Linked DNA regions of Arabidopsis thaliana. The protein of the gene in region 2 purifies or fractionates together with the protein of the main gene of each other region. This does not show direct contact. Each region holds a gene or a part of one and is shown on either strand. Other genes may lie near its edges. The genes, in order: MOR1, AT1G62870, AT3G28155 and GYRA.

The links.
Region 1: the proteins of AT1G62870 (region 2) and MOR1 fractionate together in Arabidopsis thaliana (co-fractionation; one large-scale study listed by BioGRID). This does not show direct contact.
Region 3: the proteins of AT1G62870 (region 2) and AT3G28155 fractionate together in Arabidopsis thaliana (co-fractionation; one large-scale study listed by BioGRID). This does not show direct contact.
Region 4: the proteins of AT1G62870 (region 2) and GYRA fractionate together in Arabidopsis thaliana (co-fractionation; one large-scale study listed by BioGRID). This does not show direct contact.

What each region holds. Positions count from the first base shown.
Region 1 is NC_003071.7:14,964,828-14,969,585, reverse strand, and holds the start of MOR1 (ARM repeat superfamily protein), read right to left. Parts: upstream 3,013-4,758; 5' UTR 2,759-3,012; coding exon 2,596-2,758; intron 2,401-2,595; coding exon 2,295-2,400; intron 2,204-2,294; coding exon 2,080-2,203; exon of another isoform or gene 1,776-2,079; coding exon of another isoform or gene 1,713-1,775; intron 1,347-1,712; coding exon 1,267-1,346; intron 1,180-1,266; coding exon 1,002-1,179; intron 706-1,001; coding exon 641-705; intron 355-640; coding exon 272-354; intron 178-271; coding exon 92-177; intron 1-91. UniProt on the Arabidopsis thaliana protein: Microtubule-binding protein that is essential for cortical microtubules organization and function. Essential for maintaining the interphase cortical array and for correct morphogenesis.
Region 2 is NC_003070.9:23,283,367-23,288,478, forward strand, and holds AT1G62870 (uncharacterized protein), read right to left. Parts: upstream 3,432-5,112; 5' UTR 3,143-3,431; coding exon 854-3,142; 3' UTR 546-853; downstream 1-545.
Region 3 is NC_003074.8:10,484,246-10,487,699, reverse strand, and holds AT3G28155 (uncharacterized protein), read left to right. Parts: upstream 1-1,708; coding exon 1,709-1,738; intron 1,739-1,831; coding exon 1,832-1,915; intron 1,916-2,018; coding exon 2,019-2,085; intron 2,086-2,195; coding exon 2,196-2,270; intron 2,271-2,346; coding exon 2,347-2,399; 3' UTR 2,400-2,425; intron 2,426-2,504; 3' UTR 2,505-2,561; intron 2,562-2,664; 3' UTR 2,665-2,763; intron 2,764-2,767; exon of another isoform or gene 2,768-2,864; 3' UTR 2,865-2,919; downstream 2,920-3,454.
Region 4 is NC_003074.8:3,340,338-3,348,372, reverse strand, and holds the start of GYRA (DNA GYRASE A), read left to right. Parts: upstream 1-2,012; 5' UTR 2,013-2,129; coding exon 2,130-2,554; intron 2,555-2,648; coding exon 2,649-2,718; intron 2,719-2,816; coding exon 2,817-2,882; intron 2,883-2,996; coding exon 2,997-3,098; intron 3,099-3,286; coding exon 3,287-3,331; intron 3,332-3,407; coding exon 3,408-3,506; intron 3,507-3,645; coding exon 3,646-3,732; intron 3,733-3,865; coding exon 3,866-3,936; intron 3,937-4,424; coding exon 4,425-4,533; intron 4,534-4,638; coding exon 4,639-4,701; intron 4,702-4,850; coding exon 4,851-4,916; intron 4,917-5,011; coding exon 5,012-5,100; intron 5,101-5,301; coding exon 5,302-5,350; intron 5,351-5,503; coding exon 5,504-5,590; intron 5,591-5,691; coding exon 5,692-5,785; intron 5,786-6,170; coding exon 6,171-6,241; intron 6,242-6,326; coding exon 6,327-6,416; intron 6,417-6,806; coding exon 6,807-6,932; intron 6,933-7,018; coding exon 7,019-7,176; intron 7,177-7,274; and 7 more. Other genes in the region: GalAK (galacturonic acid kinase), read left to right, coding at 1-4, 365-516, 679-719, 812-840, 935-1,004, 1,113-1,202, 1,337-1,584. UniProt on the Arabidopsis thaliana protein: A type II topoisomerase that negatively supercoils closed circular double-stranded DNA in an ATP-dependent manner.

The DNA.
Region 1 (4,758 bases), on a different chromosome or scaffold from region 2:
GTAAGTGGTATAGTATAAAAAAGTTCTTTCAGTGAAAGACAACCACAAGAAATAAAACATAGTAAAATGTGCATTAAGCATCAAAACTCACCACTCCGTCCCAGAACCCAGACTTCTCCAAAGGTGTCAAAATGTCCACAGGATCCATAAGATCATACTCATCTATTTCTTGAGGCGCTGATAGTACGGGTAGATAAAAGAAAAAACAATGTAAGCAGACTTCTCATTATTACTTGATGAAGAACAATTCATTGAGGTACAAGCTACTTACCGTCAGCAACAGCTTCTTCACTGGGCCCATCACCCACAACATCAGAACTAGCTTCTGCCTCTGGTTCCTTGTCTTGCTCAGATCTTGAAAGCCAAATACAGAAATAATCTCATTGCAGCTTTACTTTTTCAACTTTAAAATTCACACAGGCTAGAAAAAGGTCTTGAAACCAAAAAGAAATACTCATGCATATCAATTCAATTATTCAGAAATTTGACAGAGGCACATTGAGTATTCACAAAGCATAGGCTGAATTACGGTGAAACTGGATCTGGTTTTACCTTACCAATAAATGTCAAAATATATTAGATGTATGTGCCAATGAATAATTAGGAAAATTAAACAATTATTATCGTATGTGGTAGTAACCTTATCTTTCGAGTAGGCTTGGCACCCGCTGTAACATTGGCAAGCTCAGCCTCCAGCTCTTTTTTCTTACATAGTAACAATGAAACGGAATATTAGGGTTTGCAACAAAGCACAAGAGAATAAATAAAAATTCAAGTGTAACTTCTTCCACTGATTAAAGAAAAACGCAAATCATGGGCAGAATTTACAGGTAAGGTGTGGTTCTTATCCGCAATGGGATCTATCATCTATCTATCTGTTATGACTAGAAACCCCTGTTTCAGTTTTCCAATTCCAAGAAAAATCAAGAGGATTTAATCCAGTTCATATCAACTTGGCAGCATAGCTAAGTTGCAAATGTGCGGCTCAACATAAATCTTACCATCGTATCCCTCATTTTTTCAAACAATATAGACTTTACAGGGTCTTTTCCAATCCAACGGCATAGCTCAAGAGTCACTCCTTTGGCAGATGCACGGACATTCTGATCTTGATGGTCGAAAAGTTCAGGAAGCATCTTTAAAATCCTTTTAGGTGGAATAACTTTTGATCCAAATTCACTAAGGTAGAAATAAAGTAGCGTCGATATTTCAGATAAAAGATTTCATGAACCAATGGAGAAAACTAACAAGGAGTTGAAAACAGACCTTAGAGCTTGAAACATAACGTCTACTGCAGGTACCACAGCCTTTGCAACTTTATTCTTTATAGCTTTCTCCATCGTATCCTACAATCATGCCAAATCTGTTAGCATGTATAAAAACGATGTTATCCTATAAACTATACAACTCCCAGTCTCCCAATATATATCTTGTTGGCAGTTGAAAATTGAAATGACTGAAACAATGCATATCAAGTAGAGTTATTGCAACTTTATACTTGGGAAGTGAATTAAAACTTCTGAAGGAAATGATGTTTTGAACAAAACACTATGGTAGATATCTTGAAAACAACAATAAAGAAGGTATCTAGATTCCTTTCTCCTTCAGAAATAAGTATTATTCATAGCAGAAGTCCAACAGCTTGAGACACGGTGACAACAACTCAAAACTGGAAATGTTGGTTACTGAAGAGGGTGATTATAGGAACAGACCCCAGAAAGTTGATTCTGTTTCTTGACCTTGAACACAGGATGCTCAGGACATCTGTCAGTCATCGTTATTTAAATTGCTCTTTTCCTATGCCACACTAGATACCTAGCATAACACAGAACTGGACAAAGAGCCACAATGCTATATTCTACGTCACTCCTTCTAAGATCAGTATATGGTTGAATTCTGGGTTATAAAGCACTTTCATTTCTATGTCAGCTCACCTATCTAGTTTCAGATACCAGTATCAGCAATCTAGCAAGTAACTCTATGGCTAGATGGTGAACCTATACATCAGAGTGCAAGGGTTAACCGTATGTGTCTAGATAACCCTAGCAGTGTTGCAAAAACATAGAATGAATGACATACCAGAAAAACATCGACGGCCTCTAATTCTACCCAAAGCAAGAAAGCAGCCTGCGCCTTGTCCACAGTATTCTTCCGACCCGTAAGGCATTTGAGCGCAATAGCATCGCAAACTTCCTTTGCATACCTTCAAAAGCAGAAACAAACTAATTATTCACATGCAAACGAACACTCCACTCTGCCCATTTCTAAAGCAATAAAAATAAACAACACCATACCTTCCAGCATCTGAATCGGCTGCTCGCAAAAACGCAATCAATGCATCAAGCGCTTTCTCTTGCACCGGCGCATTAGAATCTGCCACCGTCTTCCTAAACAAGTGACCTGCGAATAAAAAATAATAATCAGAAATTCAATCAAAAGTAAAGCAAAATGGAACCCTAGACCAATCACATTCCCACTCAACAATCCAAATTCAAAACAGATCCACACCGATATAAACCACCCTAATCAGATCTGAGCTTCAAAAACAAAAACCCTAACATAATAATAATAAAAAAACGAGGTAGAGAAACTCACCAAAATCGCGAAGACGAGGGTCCTTAGGATCAGTAATCGAATCAAAAACAGAAGCTAAATCGACGTTAGCTTCGTTCCTAACTTTCCAATTCTTATGCCCAAGCCGATCCTCCCAAGGAAGTTTTTTCGCCTCCTTCAATAACTTCTCATCCTCCGTCGACATTACTCCACGAAATTATCTCTCCGACGGTATCGATCTTATCGATCTATACCAAGTTTTTTTTTTCTTCGTACGGTCTCTTGGAAACTTTCTCTCTCTTTTCAAAAAAATTTCTTCGTGTTGTTAGTGCCGGCAAGAGAGAGAGAGAGAAGGACAAAAAAGAAGAGTAGGGTGGAGCGTAATGAGAGAGAGAGAGTGGGGGAATTTTGGTTTCTACGTTTAAATCGGTGGTGTAATTTTTTTGTTAAAAACCCTTCACGCGCGTTTTGATTGGAAATGTTTACACGCGCGATTATTTCAAATCTTAAAACGAGCGTTTTTCTTTTGCTTTCTCCACGTGGAGAGATCGGCATTTTCAAACTATTTTAGGAAATGATTAACAGTACTGAATTTTCCTATTGTTGGTTCTGTAAATATTTTCAAAATATATTTACATTAACAATCTATTAATTTCTAAGAAAATAAAGTAATATTTTGAAATGAATAACTCATTTTTAGTTATAAAAATATTTATTTTAAAAAATCAACAAAATCATGAGTTATTATTACTTACTTATTGGATTATCTTTTCTTCTATAAAATACAAATAAATAGTCATTTTCTATAAAACTAGACACGTAAACCAAAATGGATTTATTAGTTTGATTATGGAAGTTCAAAAACATTGTGTATTTTATGATTTAAAAACTAGTTAAAATTTATTATTTTAATATCCTAAATATTTATGCTAGGATCTGATTTCGCTTTGGATTTTAATATATTTGAAATATCTAATTCAAATTCAGAATACAAATACTCAAATTTCAAACAAACTTTGATTGATAATTAGTACAAGAATATTTAAGCCACACCACACCTTACACCTTTTCCATCTCCATCCTCATGTCTTAGGTGATGTAACTCTCTATCTCCAGATATCTTTTCTTGTCTACTGCTAACACATGAAACAACAACTCAAATTTAAGCCATATTTTTACAATGGTACCAAATTTATAAGAATCATAGATGAAATTACCAAAACAAGAAGTTACGTGGAAAGATTGAATCCAATATTAATATTTTGATTTCTATTATAAAAGCAAATGAAATAATGATTATCAGTCCATTGTTTGTTCCATTTTTAAGTACACTTGTTTGTTTGATTTAGGTGAATAAGATCCGCTAAAGCTGAAAATACAAGAATTGTCCCTAAAGATAGTAAAGTACAGTACGCTTCCAAATAAATAACAATGGGCTTTAGTAGGCCCACGCAATAACGATGTTTTAACTGACCCAACAAGCCCTTGTCCAGTTCTGGCATTATACAATGCGTCGGTCGACACGTGTAATAAGTCATGATCGGCACGTGTGGTCTCCACTTCTCCTCTCTCATTGGTCGTAAACTCGTAACTAGCCGATTCCTTCTCCAAAGTATCTCACATTTCCACTGCACACTCTACTTTCTCTCTCTTCACTCTCTCATAAATCACAACAACAACAAAAAAAAAAAAGTTGTTAGTTAAGACATTGCTTTACAGCTCAATTGCGTCTTCTTCCTCTGTCTTATTCTTCATCTTCATCTTCCTCCTCGCGGATCCATTTTGAGGTTCGTGTAAATTCCCATTCTCTTTCGCCATTTTTTTGGGGGAAGTGAGATTTTGGTCTGAGTTATCGGCGAATCGATTTCGTTTTTTTAGATTATTGAATGGTTTTGTTGACTCTTCAGTTCTTCTTGTGCTGTGATTGCAATGATGTCCTCCGAATTTCGTGATTTAAGTTCGATTTTAGCTATCCGAGCTCCTCTTTAAATAATGAGTTGGGGTTTTATTCTGAAGGTTCGATTTCTGATTTTGCAAATTTGGGAGGTGGATTTGATCCGATTAGATAATCTCACTGTTCTGGGTGCTGTAATTGTTAATGAGACCATGCAAATGTTGTGCATCGATGTTGTGGAACGCTTGATTTGTAATTGAGGATTTGGTTGTCTGATTATTGGAAGATCGAGGCTTGATAGAGTTTCAAAT
Region 2 (5,112 bases):
TTTTGATGCAAGAACCTCCCACTAAATTTGCTTTCCTAGTGGGGGATCCACATTTTTTGAGAAAAGATTTTAAAGAAACTACTCGATAGATTGATAAGTTAGATAGATAGATAATCGTAATCATAGTTGAAGTGAACCCGAAAACCCGGTTCAGTTCTTAGGTGACAAAAAGGTCTACATCTTTCGTCGTCGACATCAATAGAGACTAACATGTTATGATGAAGCAAGAACGTGAAAAATGTTCAAAAATAAAATGTTTTATTAAGTCAATTTCTTGAAATGGAAAAGACATTGTTTTGAGTCATGATTAAGAATATTAACGTTAATGAAAAAAGAACAAAAGAACAACAGAACAAAAGAGATCATTACAATGTACAATACAGAAGATGAATGAAGCTGTCGTTGAATCTTCTGTTGATGCCATTAATGTTCTTAACTACAACCTTGGACCTTTTGAACCAATAGATTGATGATGATCACGACGAGAGGTCGATTCACATTAGATTTCATTGCTACGCAAACCAAATGTGTGCAGAAACATGAAACTTCTAATGGTAATATGATATAGACAAGAACTTTACAAGAGTCGCTTGTATGCAAGAATTTCAAAATCAGTCTCAAGATCATTGCTTAAGTTCGAAAAAAGACACGGAAAAATTGCCTAAAATTATGATCAAAATAGACTAAAAGAAATACAATGATATGGCTCTCTTTCTCACCTCCTAAAGGAGCCAAGTACAAATTGAATTAAGGGTAGTAAAAAAAAAAGTTAACAACAAAAAAAATGAATTCAAGCAATCCTACAAAATGGCCAAGTTCTAGTGAAAAACTAAATTTGGTAAAAATTAACAAGTCACACTGAGGATGTATCGATGAGAACATCGTTTAGCACATCATCTTCGCCATTCGCCATAGCGAGCAGCTCCGCATCTCTCTCTTCCTCGTTGGAGAAGTCTCTCCTTTCGAATTTCGAGTTAGCGGATATAAAGATCAACTTTTGAGCTCGATCCACGGCTGCGCGTGATCTTCCATTCGAATTTACCCATCTCAAAACAGAGGAATTGCATTTGAAACCACAAGAAGTTGCATGGAGAAAAATAAGCCTAACTGCAACTCTCCCCAATGACCTGAACTCACTAAGATAAGTTTCCCAAACAAGTCTACTACTTTGTGGATTAGCTATCCTCATTTTCCCCGAAACAGGATCTCTCTCCTTCATTTGAACCGCCCTTGCGTAAACCGGATCAAGCCCTTCTGTTCTCCATTTCATCAGCTCCATCATCGCGATATGTGCCTCGTCTCTAGACACAAGCCTTGTTATTAACTTATCAACATCTTTCTCTTGCTCCGGGGACAAGCATTTGAATGGAGGAAGATATTTTCCGCTACTGTCTTTTATCAAGTAAAGCGGATCAAGTATAAACGCCGCAGCCCAAGCTGGGTGATAACTCTTCTTGAATCTTCTCTCAACGATCTTCTCTACTTGCCTCTCTTCAACAACATTGAACTTTGCATACCAATCTTTTATCTTGGACCTTAGCTCATCCCATAGCGGTAAACATTGCCCTACCAAAGGCCTCTCTTCCTCTATTCTCCGAGCCATTTCTTTAACAAGCTTCAACAACAAATAAACCGCCTCTACCTCGTTCCAAAACCCGACATCTCCAACCATTTCACCAACCTCTCTAGCCATATGATCCTCCATTAGAACAGCCTTACACACATCATCATGCATCACCAGCTGAATCGCTCTAGCGAAACTAAGCACATCCTCAAGGAGATTATACAATGGCTCAAACAAAGAACTATCCAAAGGCAAATGCAGCATCCTAGTCTCTCCTTGCTCTTGCAACTGATACTTACAAACCGCGTTTCGGATCTGTGCCGTGCTGTTCACGAAATTAACGAGCCTCGAGCAGCTTTGAGAGACGGATTTAAACAAAGGAAGCTCTTTTACAAAATCTCGAATCAAACTGTTGAAACCTTGAAACTGACAAGAGAGATTCACCATCCATTGATGCTGGCTCTCAAGATTCCTCAATGCCTTACTCATAAACCTATCTGAAACAATCCCAACACACCTCTGAGGTGAATTACCACAAATACCCCTCACCGTCTCCCACAAAACCTCCTCTGCGTAATTAGACGGCACAGCTCCGTTCACAAACACAGCTCGTCTATACAAACTCGTCCCATTAGGCAAATTCACAATCAAATTCACCAAATTCTCGCCGGAGCTGTCGAATTTCCATCCATCAGAAGCAATCTGAAAGAACATTGCGTCGTGGATTCTCGATTCAGCCTCTGCTCTCGAATCTTCATACTTCAAATCCAATCTTCCGGTGACAAAATCTCTCCTTGAGATGATCGGTAAACCAACTTGCGTCAAAAAAGCTCTCAACTTTGGATGCTCGAGACCAGATAAAGAAACAGAGCCACAAGATTCAAAAACCCAATCAGAGAGAGAATCTAACGCAGAATCTATCTGAGCTTTAGTTAGATTCCGCGTCTGAGAAGTTTTAGGACTCTTGAGCTTCTTCACACTATCTTCAAGCATAGCTAATGGACCCAAATCGTCTTTTCCACCGGAAAGCATCAAATGCGGCTGCTGTGTAACCGGAAACTGCCCACAGAATCTCGAGGGATCAACGACACTAAGAGGCGTCACATTATAAGACCCTTGATGATGATGATGAGGATGATGATGATGATGATTCAGAGCTTCCACGGCGGAGGAATTACGTTTCCGGTGAGAAGAAGACGGAGGAGGAGGAGGAGAAGGAGAGATTGTGGAGATGGGTTTAGGTAAAGAGTTGAAATTTGGACAAGTTCCACGTTTAAGATGCTCAGAAGCAGTTCGGGAAGGATTAGAAGCTGAGAAAACGGCGTCGCATAAAGAACATCGGAGTTTAACGGCTTTAGGGAAACCAGTGTCGGTGTTGTGTAGTAAGATTGGTTCAAGGTGACTCCAATACCACGCGCCTTTGCCTTTAACTGCTTTTGTTCTTACCATCATTAATCCTTCGTAACGCTTTTGTAACGCCTTTGTCGCTAATTCTTCCGCCGACGGTTGTTGCGTTGGTGATTGCGTTTGCGTTTGCTGTTGTGTCGCCGTTGTTGTTGCGTTTGTCGTCGTCGCCATTGTAAAGTCAAAAAACTTAAACAACAACCCTGAACGAAATTAAGCTGAGACTAGTGGATTTTGATGAAATTGAAGAGAAAATTTCGCCGGCGGTCGGAGATAACTCCGGCGGTTCCTCATAACAGAGAACAGAAATAGAAATAAATAAACTTTGTCTCTGTTTTTGCTTCACCTCTGAAAAAAAAAAAAAACTTTGTTCCTCTCTGCTCTGCTATCACACTGATAGTTTCTTTCGATTCTATTTTTTAAGAGACTGAGAAATTTCAAAAAGGAGAAGAAGAAGAAAGAAAGAGACAGTAGAGAGAGACAGAGAGAGGAAGGAGAAGAAAATAAGGGAGACAAAAGTGAATCTCACGCGCATAAGGTAAGCGCGTGTTTGTAACATTGAATGAAACGTTTGATAGGAACAAGGTGAGACCAGAGTCCCACGTCGTACGAGAACGGAAACAAAGCATTGGTTGTTTTAGTCTCTCACTTCACTCTCATTGGCACGTGATTCTCACGCTCTCCATAAAGGTATTTTTAATACTATATATTATTGGTTTTATACCTTTTTAATAAAAATAAATATCACTTTTTCAGTTTTTTTTAAAAAAATATTTTTGGATGTGTCTTGTTTTCATATTTTTCTGTTTTTTTTGAGTGAATTGTTGGGTTCTTGTGTGGAAGAGGTCTTCGTCTGTTTCCTCTTTTTCTAATTTATATGATTATAAAATATTGATCTACTATTGTATAGTATCAACTATTCCACGTAATCAAATTTGGTATATGATTCGTGTTATGAACTAACCCACCAATATAAATACTATTAACAGGGTAAATCATTCAATGACATAAGCAAAGCAGCTCACAAATTTAGTACTAAATCATTAAATGATTCTTTTAAAAGTAGATAATTGTGTGAAAGTGTTAGTAAATGAGTGAGTGAAAGACATGTTTTTTATTAATTTAATGTTTTTACTTTTTTTTTGGGTATAATTATGATTGTAAAAGAAGGAAAAATACAAAAAAATGATGAGTGGGGTTTCCATTTGTGTCTTGTTGTCTATGTGGGATATATTCAGAATGTGGGCATAAAAGGGCAACCTAGGAATTTAATTTGTTTCTTTAGGGACTGTGTCTCTCTGTGTGTGTGAGAGAGAGTTGTTGACCAAAAGGACATTCTTTAGTAAATACTTATTTATTATTTTCAGAATCCAGTAAAAAATATATTTATTGACTGTGACAAAAAAAATATTTTTGAATATAATTGGTTCAGTAATAAAGACATTTACTCACCATTACAATTTGTTTCTACTTGAAGTAGTATAATGCATGTTACATAGTATAATAGAAACTCTACTTTCATTTTTTTTGAAAAAACTATTAACTGGAAAATAAACTATTTTTTCTCAAGAAAAATTATAATTTTTTTTTGAAAGTTTACTACGAGTAATATTATTGCTAGTATTTTATTCCTGATAAAAAAAAATTCAATACAAAAATCAATATGTTTCAAACCACTATTATCATATTTCTTGTAAGAATGAAAACAAAATTTCCTGATTGTCATCCTGAGTTTTTGTATCAGTGACAAATAGTGACAATTTTTGTAATTTTTAGAATTCGTGAACATTTTTTTCTTTAATATAATTGACAAATGTTGTTGACAACAAAAATGGATAAATATAACATAATAAACCAACGTTTTTTTCCGTAATGTTTGTTTTGGACACTACATATGTTTAATCTGAGTTGTTTAATCTATTAGCATTATGGAATTGCATTGTTTGTCGTAGATGTGTTATTTTGATATTTTAGTAAATTCTCTTTAAATTTCTTACTTTTTCTACTGAAATAGTTGACTTTTACCCTATCCCTTTTTTACAACGACATATACTCTCTTTTCTTAACTGTCTTGTGTGGTATTCATGAGTCTTATGGTTGTTACAACACTCATCTCATGTTTTTCTTTAGTTGTTCTTTTTACT
Region 3 (3,454 bases), on a different chromosome or scaffold from region 2:
CATGATGCATCCACACATACATACATTCATACATACTACATACTTGCTTCGCTTGCACATTCATAATTTCTCTGAAACGTCTCTCGGTGATAAGTGACAACAAGAAGCACGTGAGAGAATGTACCTTGGCTGCTAATTTTTGTCGTGGGGCTGTGCATCTTGACAACATGCCACTGAATTATAGTATTTTTTATTCTGTTACTGCATTTGATATCCATGCTATGTTCCATGTTGCATTGTATTCATATCAAAGCCTCATTAGCACATGCCACTGAAGCTCTTTTTTAGCACATTCATGCATAATGCATGATGCATCCACACATACATACATTCATACATACTACATACTTGCTTCGCTTGCACATTCATAATTTCTCTGAAACGTCTCTCGGTGATAAGTGACAACAAGAAGCACGTGAGAGAATGTACCTTGGCTGCTAATTTTTGTCGTGGGGCTGTGCATCTTGACAACATGCCACTGAAGCTCTTTTTTAGCTCTTTTTTTTTGTTAATTATTACTGAGTTTGATGATTTTGCATTATATTATATTGCCGTGCATCAACTTTGACTTTGAAAGAAGAGATAGAAGTTCTAGAAGAACTAGACAAGTCAGAGGAAATCTTGGTCGGTTGTTGTGTGCAGGTGCAGCTCCAGGTTAAAATGAGAAAAAATGTGAGGTATGCTTGTTACTCCATTTAAAATCTTCTTATATGTAATTATCGAATTATTCCCTGAGAATATTACTTGGAAAAGCAGGTTCTGCAAATCATCACTCATATCTTCAACTGCGGCAAAAGAAATGTGTCATACTTTGCATTACAGGTTAGTAATAGAAGAAGAAAAAGTAACTTTTAGAAACTGAATGCTGTATTTAGACGTCAGTTTTATCTTTTTCTTACAAAATTCTTTCTTGGCTCAGTTTCAGATATAAAGATATGAGCCTCTACAATGAAGTGGCCTACTTCTTTTTGTGAAGCAGCTGATCGAAAGGGTTTGTGCTGGTTCGGTAAATTTTCTATCGACTTTCATTTTAATCTGATCACAATGATGATTCATGACTTTTGTTTGTAGCTTTGCAGAATCATGAAAGAGCACAACAATCCCAAGGTTCATAGTGAAGGCTTATTCTGGATTGTTTCGGCAGTTGATGACTTTGGTGTCTCACTTTTGAAACTTACGAATTCCTTTTAAGCTACTTCTGCTTTGCCTAACATGTGTTTGTTTGGTTCATTTTTGTGGATGGTCTTTTAGATTTCTTGTTTTTACTTGTCTGTTGTTCATCAGGGGACTGCGGCACCGAAGAGAGTTAGATAGACGTCGGTAAAAAGGCTTTGAGATTCCTGATTTTGAAATCTTTTTTTGTTGCTAACAATTCTTTTGTGAAAAAATTATTCTAAGCTGTAGAGTTGAAACTGAGTGTTTTAAATTTTTGTAGATACGTTTGGATCCAATTGAAGCTGTAATAAAATTCTGGAAGGGGCTAATAAACGTATCCAACCAAATGGAACTGGTATGAACTCAGGAATTTTTCTATAATTCTCTGTTATTTAAGTTTTTTTTTTCATTACATAATTAGTCATGAATCCTTATAATTGTTATATGTACCGTTCGTATCATGTTCAGTAGTAGAATTATTCGGTGGTCCACGGGGACAACTTTTAGTCTTGTGATGCAAACATTGACTACCATTGGAGGTGTTGCAGCAGCCATGGGACCAGCTGTCAAGAAGGCGAGCAAGGTTAGGGATACATGTCAAGCGTTGAAAATACTTTTACATTGTAAAATATCAATGCCTGCCATTTTTACCAAATACTTGAATGATCTAGTTTAGGGAATTTTGTCTGATGTTCTGAAATGCCTCACTAACAACATAAAGCACATGAGAGAATTTACCTTGGCTGTTGTTGATAAAATGGTTGGTGAACTTCTTTAAACAAGTCTTTTGTATCCTGTTAATGCAGATTCTAATACCACTAAAAGTGGTTTTTATAGATCTTTTTGATTGCTTGACAAAACAGGTTGCTGGATTAAGTGACTTTGTGGATGCTACACATTTACTGAAACCTGCAAGTAACCGCAGTGATGGTGAGTCTGTGACTGATCTAAAATATTTATACCGCCTCATTATCTTGAATCACTAAATAAGTCTGTTTGTAATAATTATTACTCTGTTATGTTTCTACTGATATTTCCAGGACCAACCAGAAGATCTGCGAAAAATAGTGGAAGGATGCCTTTCCGAGATCTGGAGAGTCAGTGGACAAGACACGGTAGGTATCCTTGGGTTAGCTTGTTCTATTCGTGGCTTGAACCTAATATCGGATTAGTCGTATGCATTTTTCTCAGATGGAAATGAATATCAAAGATATAAAAGGCTCATCACTAGCTCTTGTGCTTGAAAAAGCAAGACCAGGATTTGTTCAAGGTACCTCTCCAATCTTCATGATCTGGTTGTCTGATTAACATGTTCTCTCCTCTCTACTAACGACTTGAATCATCAAAAGCTTCGGCGGGGCCAGTATCAAAAGGTGTTTCAAATATTCCATAATCTACTTCTAGTGGTACCTTGAAGCAAGATCAGTTAGTTTCATCCGTCTCTTCACATATTTTCTTTTGTATTCAATTTGTAAGTTAAAAAAAAAATATTGGCATTCCTTATTGCAGAGCTACAACACTTAAGGGGCAAGATATCAAATTAAGTATGGAATCGTATTCTCGAAGACTTGGGAGAGCCAAACAGTTTCTTAGATACTTCATATTAAGGTAAGTTGTTCCTCATGTTTCTTTTACATAAAGGGTCAAATAATTTTCTCTGTTTTTTAGTCTCTTATTTGATATTTCTCTTGCTTCATGCATGTGTACAGGTCTTTTGGTTACCAAAGTCGTCAAGGCAAATCCCGTAGTCCAGAACAAATGAAGAGGCAGGTAAAATCTCCATGTCTCTCTTCTCAAGACAAAAATACTCGCACCAAATACACAAACACGACAGATAAAAAAACTTCACAATCACAAATACACAACAAAAAATAATCAAACAAAACTAAAACTCTACACTCAAACTATAAAACTTCACATGCCACGAAACACAACAAAACAAATCGACAAAAACTCCACACTTCAAACAAAAACTTCACATGCCACGAAACACAACAAAAAAAATCGACAAACACAATCACCTGAAACAAGAGTTCTCATGGATATAATCGACAAAAACGAACAAATACTTTCTCTCTAATTTACTATAATTTAATGTCAATAACAATTCATAGAAATTGTTCCCCGATATGAGGGAATAGAAAATATAGGAAGAGGAGAAAGAAAGCTAAAAAAACTTTCCCTCGCATGAGTTTCGAGATTCTATTTCTAGTTACTACTTTTTGAAAAACCAGATTTAAACCAAACCTTTTTACTAAAAACAGAAATTCTCACCCACTTTTGTTTACCCAAAATAGAA
Region 4 (8,035 bases), on a different chromosome or scaffold from region 2:
CAAGGTAAAATTCCTTGATTTGTAAGTGATATAGTGTGCAAAAAAGCAAGAAGCTTGTTCATGTGGCAAAACCAAGACTGTTCAATGGGATGCCTAAGATGTTTTTGATCTCTAAACTGAAAATGACTCACGATCAAATCAGATCTACAACATTCTCATTGCTTTCACGAGAAAATAAGTGTTTAATCTTTTCAATTGCTTCGATTTTAATGTATTTCAATGCTGAGTTCACTTCTTCCTAAAATGAAAATGAATGGTTAGAATCAGGAGGCCTTGAAGAAATCCTTCCTAACCAGCCATAGATAGGGAAACTTTATTTTCTTCCAGAAACTGCCATCTCAGAAAAACTGTTTGAAATATGCAGACTTTGGACCACGAGCTTGTACAGGCTCCTGAACTGGAGAAACCGTTCAGGATATTGTTAGCATTCTCAGGCTTGAGGCAGGCGTTGACCACCAACCCAGGATATAATCTGCGAGTTTCTGAGTGTCAAGAGGCAGCAAAAGTTCTTTTGACGTATGTGCAAATCTGTTTGATTCATATTTATCTACATTTTCGCTTATTTAGATTTAAATTTCAGTGGAAATGCTGCAAAGTTTATTTCTCTATTGCTTGTGATACTCATTTTTCTGCATCACAAGATTCACACCCTTCTCTTGATTTACTTTTTCTTTTCAGTGCATCTGGGAACAGTGAGCTGGAACCTACGTTGTGCAATGGTAAAAAAACTTTAAGTGTGGACTTTAACTTATTCGTTGCATGCTGATTAGTTTTTCTTTGTTGCCATGTCTCTAACTGTCCCACTGAATAGTTGAGCATGCGGTCTATGAAGCTCACAAGGTAAGAAAATAAGATTCTTAAGCTTTTGGTAAAACAGGTTCCACCTATATCAGGCCTATGTAAATATGTAATACAATAATACTTGTTCGTGCAGCATGAGCTGAAACCGGTTTTAGCTAAAAGAGCAGAGCATTATTTCTCGGAGAACATGCGAGTTATCAAAGGCAAATGTTCTTGAATTCTTGTAGATGTCTCTTTATGTGCATGAATGATTCATTAAGCTCTTTATGATGCTTAACGGACTTTTATGAATGTTTGTTCTTAAATTTCAGGACGGGAAGCCTGGGCTTCAGGGAATCTTGAAGAATTTGGAAAGCTAATTTCAGCATCCGGCTTGAGTTCCATTGAGAATTACGAATGCGGTACATTACACTCTCTTTTCTTCTCTCCCAAATGCAACATATCCTATAGTGAATACAGACCACTAGTATGCTTACAGACATTATTCTCTCTTAGATTCATTATTTTGGTTTTAAATTCTGTGAGTTTTGTGAAGGTGCGGAGCCACTGATCCAGCTATACAAGATTCTTCTGAAGGCTCCTGGTGTATATGGAGCTAGATTCAGCGGTGCAGGTTTCAGGGGATGTTGTCTAGCCTTTGTAGATGCAGAAAAAGCTGAGGCAGCTGCTTCATATGTGAAGGATGAATATGAAAAGGCCCAACCCGAGTTTGCTAACAATCTAAATGGAGGAAAACCTGTTCTCATCTGTGAAGCAGGTGACGCTGCTCGTGTTCTTCTCTGATCAATCCTGGAGTTTTTGGTTTCTTCCCCACTTAAACTCGATTTTTTTGTCCCTTATATCTCTCACGCTTATTGATTCTTTGCTTGTTTATCTCTTTTTGATCCTGTCTGAGAAATTCTCTGGTCTCTTTGGTCGGAGTTTCATCATTGCTTGATACATTTTTTTTGCTACAAATACATAATGTAAATCATTCTCTACCGTTTTCGAGTCGATAGAAGAATCGCAAACTTCAAAAATGTGACTAACATTTCTCCATAAATTTGTTAAATTTTCAACAATTGGTGAATTTAGTTCTGTAATTGATCTAACAAAGACACTATACAAGTATGAAATTAGAAATTGAAATCGAAAGTTAGTTATTATAATCTTGTTTGTATAAAATAGTGTATATCTCAAATAGAGATACAGATTAGTTTTTTGTTTGGACACAAAGACCCCCGCCAAAGTATTGAAATTCGCGCCTGAGAAATTCTCCGGTGTGGCTCTCTAGGGTTTTAGCACTTTAATCCATTTGTACTTGTAAAAATCCCTAAAACCCTCTGGGCATGACTCCAGTATTATGCCATTCCACTGCTTCAATCCCTAACCCTAACTCTCTCATGTCTCTCTCCTCCACTCTCCGTCTCTCTTCCTCCCTTCTTCGCCGCTCCTTCTTCCGATTCCCCCTCACCGACCCATTATGCCGTCTCCGCCGCACTGAACCCTCCGCCACGCGTTTCTTCTCCTCCCGTACTCCTCGGTCCGGCAAATTCGTTGTCGGTGCTGGTAAGCGCGGAGATGAGCAGGTCAAGGAAGAGTCCGGAGCTAACAATGGCGGTTTGGTTGTTTCTGGGGACGAATCTCGTATTGTGCCTTTTGAGCTACATAAGGAAGCTACTGAGTCGTATATGTCGTATGCGCTCTCTGTTTTGCTTGGACGTGCTTTGCCTGATGTTAGAGACGGACTAAAACCAGTACATCGGAGAATTCTGTTGAGTGACTTTCGTTCGGCTCAAAGCTACTGATATTTTTAAGCTTAGTCAGTGGTATTGTTCCTTCTAATGTTCGATTATTTTGTCTTCCAGCTTTGCAATGCATGAGTTGGGGATGTCATCTAAAAAACCATACAAGAAATGTGCAAGAGTTGTTGGAGAGGTATATTATTGATTTTTGGAAAGTGTTTTCTCAGTCGATTTCTCTAAATATCTTATTCTGAAGAACGATTTGTGCTGTTGAATTCTTTGGGTTTTCAGGTTCTTGGTAAATTCCATCCGCATGGAGATACTGCTGTTTATGATTCTCTTGTTAGGATGGCTCAGGTAAATATCTGAATTCATGGAATGTAGTCCAGTCCTCAAATAATGTTTCAGGCACGATTCGATTCTTCCCAAACTTCTGACTTTTTTGTTTTAATACCTTTGTTTTTTTGGCAGAGTTTCTCCTTGAGATGTCCACTTATCCAAGGCCATGGAAATTTTGGCTCAATAGATGCAGATCCTCCTGCTGCTATGCGTTACACTGAATGCAGACTCGATGTGAGTGCCTTTTACCTTACTTTCCCTTCTAGTTGAAATGGTTTTCCCTGCAATTCACTTTTTCTAGTTGTTTCACTTGTCTTTGCTATCTATAGTGTATCTCTCATCTCTACTTTTTCTCTTGTCTTGAGATGAACATGTATTTTTGTCAGTGTTTTCAGCTGATTGTACTTATTTTTTTTCTGCAGCCACTGGCAGAGGCAGTACTATTGTCTGATCTGGATCAAGATACGGTAACCTCACTATTAATTTGTTGCCAAGTTTACCGATACTCAACTAGATGGTCCTTAACCTCTTTTGTTTTGGCAGGTGGATTTTGTGGCCAATTTTGATAACTCACAAAAAGAACCAGCAGTGTTGCCTGCTCGTCTTCCTGCTTTGTTGTTGAATGGAGCTTCTGGGATTGCGGTAAAATAATCAAACAAATCTTAAATCTGAACTCCTTAATAGATTTTGTTCGAGATTTCTTCAGTTAATCTTGTGCAGATTTTCCCTGCTGTATGAGATTGAATATGCAGTTGAATCTTGATCATTTCACATTGTTTAGGTTGGCATGGCAACAAATATTCCCCCTCATAATCTTGGGGAGTTGGTAGACGTGCTTTGCGCTTTAATCCATAATCCAGAAGCAACGGTATCACTCATCTCCCCTTTGTTTTTCTGTGATTTATCAATTTGTGGGTCTTTTGTTTTACATGAAAAATCCTCTGTTTTATAAGTAGACAACTCATAAGATTTTGTTTCCACTTTCTTCTTCGTCTGGGCAGCTGCAAGAACTGCTGGAATACATGCCTGCACCGGATTTTCCAACTGGAGGAATAATAATGGGAAACCTTGGGTAACTCTTTGCTTTCCAATTTCTCCCCAAAGGGATCTTATACATTAATGACTTTTGTTTGCCCACCTCGTTTGCTAATTTTTTGAGAGTAGGCTATCTATAGGATCAAATAGAAAGACTCACTTCTAAAGTGTGAAACTTTTTTTTTATGGAAATAGAAAAGCATTTTGTTTTGTTTTGATCTATGATTCTAACAGATTACAGAAGCTGTACCTATATCTTAAAAGGAACCTAGAAAATGAGTGAAGAGGATGGTCCAGTTAATAGTTTTCCTTTATTTGTCTGTCATATGCAGTTTTTGAATCATCATGTTTTTTTCTGATGGTGTGAGTGATTTTTTAATATTCTGAAAGCTTATATGTTGTGTAGTACATTTACTCTCGAGTTTGTTGAATACCTTTATTAAAAAAATAGTTTGCATTCATATGCCATTTCCTTTTACAATGTTGGATTCTTATAATTTTCTAATGTGTGTTTGCGCTTTCAAGGGTTTTGGATGCTTACCGAACTGGCCGAGGGCGAGTTGTAGTTAGAGGAAAAGCTGAAGTTGAATTGTTGGATCCAAAGACAAAGCGGAATGCAGTTATTATCACAGAGGTGATCAATTTAGTTTTTTAGATTAATGTTCAGATCTCCATGGATGAGGGTTTCAAAAATGTTTATTAGCAGTAGAGTAATGCCTTTAGTGTGACTTTATTGCAGATTCCTTACCAGACAAACAAAGCTACACTTGTCCAGAAGATTGCCGAACTTGTTGAAAATAAGGTACAACTAAACTTGCGACATCTAATGTTTATTTTGCTTCACTTAGCAATATGTACTTATTTTACTCAGAGGTGTGTTACATTTCTAGTATGTCCTTATATGCTTGCAAAGTTTCTTCTTTATTCATTGATGTTGGTGTTTGTTTTCAGACGCTAGAGGGCATAAGTGACATACGTGACGAGAGTGATCGTAATGGGATGCGTGTGGTTATTGAGGTATTACACTGTTTCCTCTGCACTTAGATGTATTAGTCTGCTTTAAAATTTCATATTGGAAGGTAATTAAGATAATTTCCAATACTTCTCTATAGCTCAAAAGAGGAGGGGATCCTGCACTTGTGCTTAATAATCTTTACCGGCATACTGCCCTTCAATCAAGCTTCAGCTGCAACATGGTGGGGTGAGTTGCATCAACCGATAACTTCTTATTTCCTGTACTTTTTTGAAGAGTGGGCATATAAAAGAACTTGGGCATTTTCCAGGATGACTAGTTGAAAATTCTCTAATGAGTATGTTATGCTTGTAAATATATTAAGGATCATGTATTCACATATGCGTTTTTCTTTATCGTAACTGGATTATGGTATTCTGTGTTTTACAGTATCTGCGATGGAGAACCCAAGCTAATGGGATTAAAAGAACTACTTCAGGTGACCACTTGTCTATGTAAATCATTTATCTACGTAGCCCACAAGGAGTAATAGAAAAGTGAAGATCAGAGATAGGATATTTACTTCTGTGCTACTGTAATCACATTTTAAAGTAAATTTGTTGATTACTTTCTGTTTCTTGCTTGTGTGTAGGCATTTATAGATTTCAGGTGTTCTGTCGTCGAAAGGCGTGCAAGATTCAAGCTTTCACATGCACAACAACGAAAGCATATTATTGAGGTGCGACTAGAAATATTTAACTTTCTTAAATCTGCTCGTGAAGACCATGATGTAATGATGTAAAGCATTTTTTCTAATATCTTCACTGTATATATGCTTAGGGTATTGTGGTTGGGCTTGACAATGTGGACGAAGTAATCGAACTCATCACGAAGGCCTCAAGTCATTCCTCTGCTACTGCTGCTTTACAAAGTGGTGAGCTATATTTTACTTTGACAATATAATCAATGTAACAATCTTGAACTGCACATTATAGGTTGATGTATAAACAGAATTCGGAAAAGTGAGCGAGAATTAGGAGTCAAAAAGTAGACTAGAGCCAATTTTTCTTAGGTGGACTGATAGATGTAGTCTAGGATGTACACTATTAAAAGAATACATCTTGTGGTGAACTCTTCCATATTACATTTGAACATTATATATTTCTTGTCTTTTTATCTGGAACTGCTGGAGTCTCATTCGTTGTAAGATTTGATCTTAATTGCAAAGATTTCTTAGGGATTTATGCTTTGTAAGTCTCTATTGTAAGGGACGATACCATATATTAAAATTAACACTTGTCAAACATTTACTTATGTAGAATATGGTCTTTCTGAGAAACAAGCTGAGGCTATACTGGAGATAACTCTTCGAAGGCTAACTGCTCTTGAGGTGCTTTCTTATTCTCGCTAAGTTCAATTTATGAAACTTGTAGGCTTGACAATGTTCTAACTAGATTCTCCCTTCATAAATGCAGCGGAAAAAGTTTACTGATGAAAGTAGTTCACTAACAGAGCAAATTACAAAGTTGGAGCAGCTATTATCAACCCGAACAAACATCCTAAAGGTGACACACTCACTTTTTAGTTATCTGTTCTTTTGGCTATTGATATTAGAAATTTAGAACACCTAGATGCTAGTAGAATGATAGATGCATCAATATATGTACTCCAAATTTGTAAGCTTGACTGTTTGAGTCCACTGAGGTTCAAAATCTAGTCCATGCATTATGATGTGGTATAAGGATTCAAATGCTTCTTCCATTTCTTGTTTGGTACTTATTTTTATATCTGTAAAGCTGCTTACTATATGTTGCTGTTCTGGGCCAATGTTAGGAAGATAACTGATACATGATGATTTTCTTGTAGACCAAAATTGAACTATTTGCTTCGTTTACTTCATTGTATATTACTTACTACTTTATTCTCTTCGTTGTTTTTCTTGTATTTTTCTTTAGTTAATCGAACAAGAAGCAATAGAGCTGAAGGACAGATTCTCAAGTCCCAGGCGTTCAATGTTGGAGGATTCTGACAGTGGTGATCTAGAAGATATAGATGTTATTCCAAATGAAGAGATGCTGATGGTATGTTGCATACTTAAACCTAGAAAGTTTCTCAACGTTGAAATTTTTGTTGTTTGTTTTGTAACTTTTGATATGGATGACTATAGGCAGTCAGCGAAAAGGGCTATGTGAAGAGAATGAAGGCCGATACATTCAATCTTCAGCATCGTGGAACAATTGGCAAATCTGTTGGGAAACTAAGAGTTGATGATGCAATGTCTGACTTTCTTGTTTGTCATGCACATGACCATGTCCTCTTTTTCAGGTATGTATACCTCAAAATTTCCTTTGTGTTTGCTACGCACATGGATATTAATTTTCTGCCTTGTTGTAATTCATTGCTTATACTTGTTGTACATTCAGTGACCGGGGTATAGTTTACTCAACCCGTGCATATAAAATTCCAGAATGCTCTCGCAATGCAGCTGGTACACCTTTGGTTCAGGTAATTACATATCTGTGTATCTATGTTTTCCTTCTGCTATGTCAAAAATTATTCAATTTTATGAAAGGCTAATGTTTTGCTGTGTTCATGTGACTTGTGGAAGCAGATATTATCCATGTCGGAAGGTGAAAGAGTAACCTCCATTGTTCCTGTTAGCGAGTTTGCTGAAGATCGCTACCTCCTGATGCTTACAGTGAATGGCTGCATCAAGAAAGTATCTTTGAAATTATTTTCAGGAATACGCTCAACTGGAATCATAGCAATTCAGTTGGTTTGTCCCCTTTTTCTTCTTAGTCATATAGGAAGTCTTCTTAACAAGGTTACTCTAACAAAATTATTTGTCTTCAGAATTCTGGTGATGAACTGAAATGGGTTCGTTGTTGCTCAAGCGACGATCTTGTAGCCATGGCATCCCAAAATGGAATGGTCGCCTTGAGTACATGTGATGGTGTAAGTTGTGGCTCTCATTTTTTCTAAATGATTCATCTTTCATGTAAACCTTTTAATACTTGAGCAAACTCTGATGGCTTTTGTTTGTTTAGGTTCGCACACTGAGCAGAAATACAAAGGGAGTGACTGCCATGAGACTCAAGAATGAGGATAAGATAGCGAGCATGGACATCATACCTGCATCTCTGCGGAAAGATATGGAAGAGAAGTCGGAAGATGCTTCACTTGT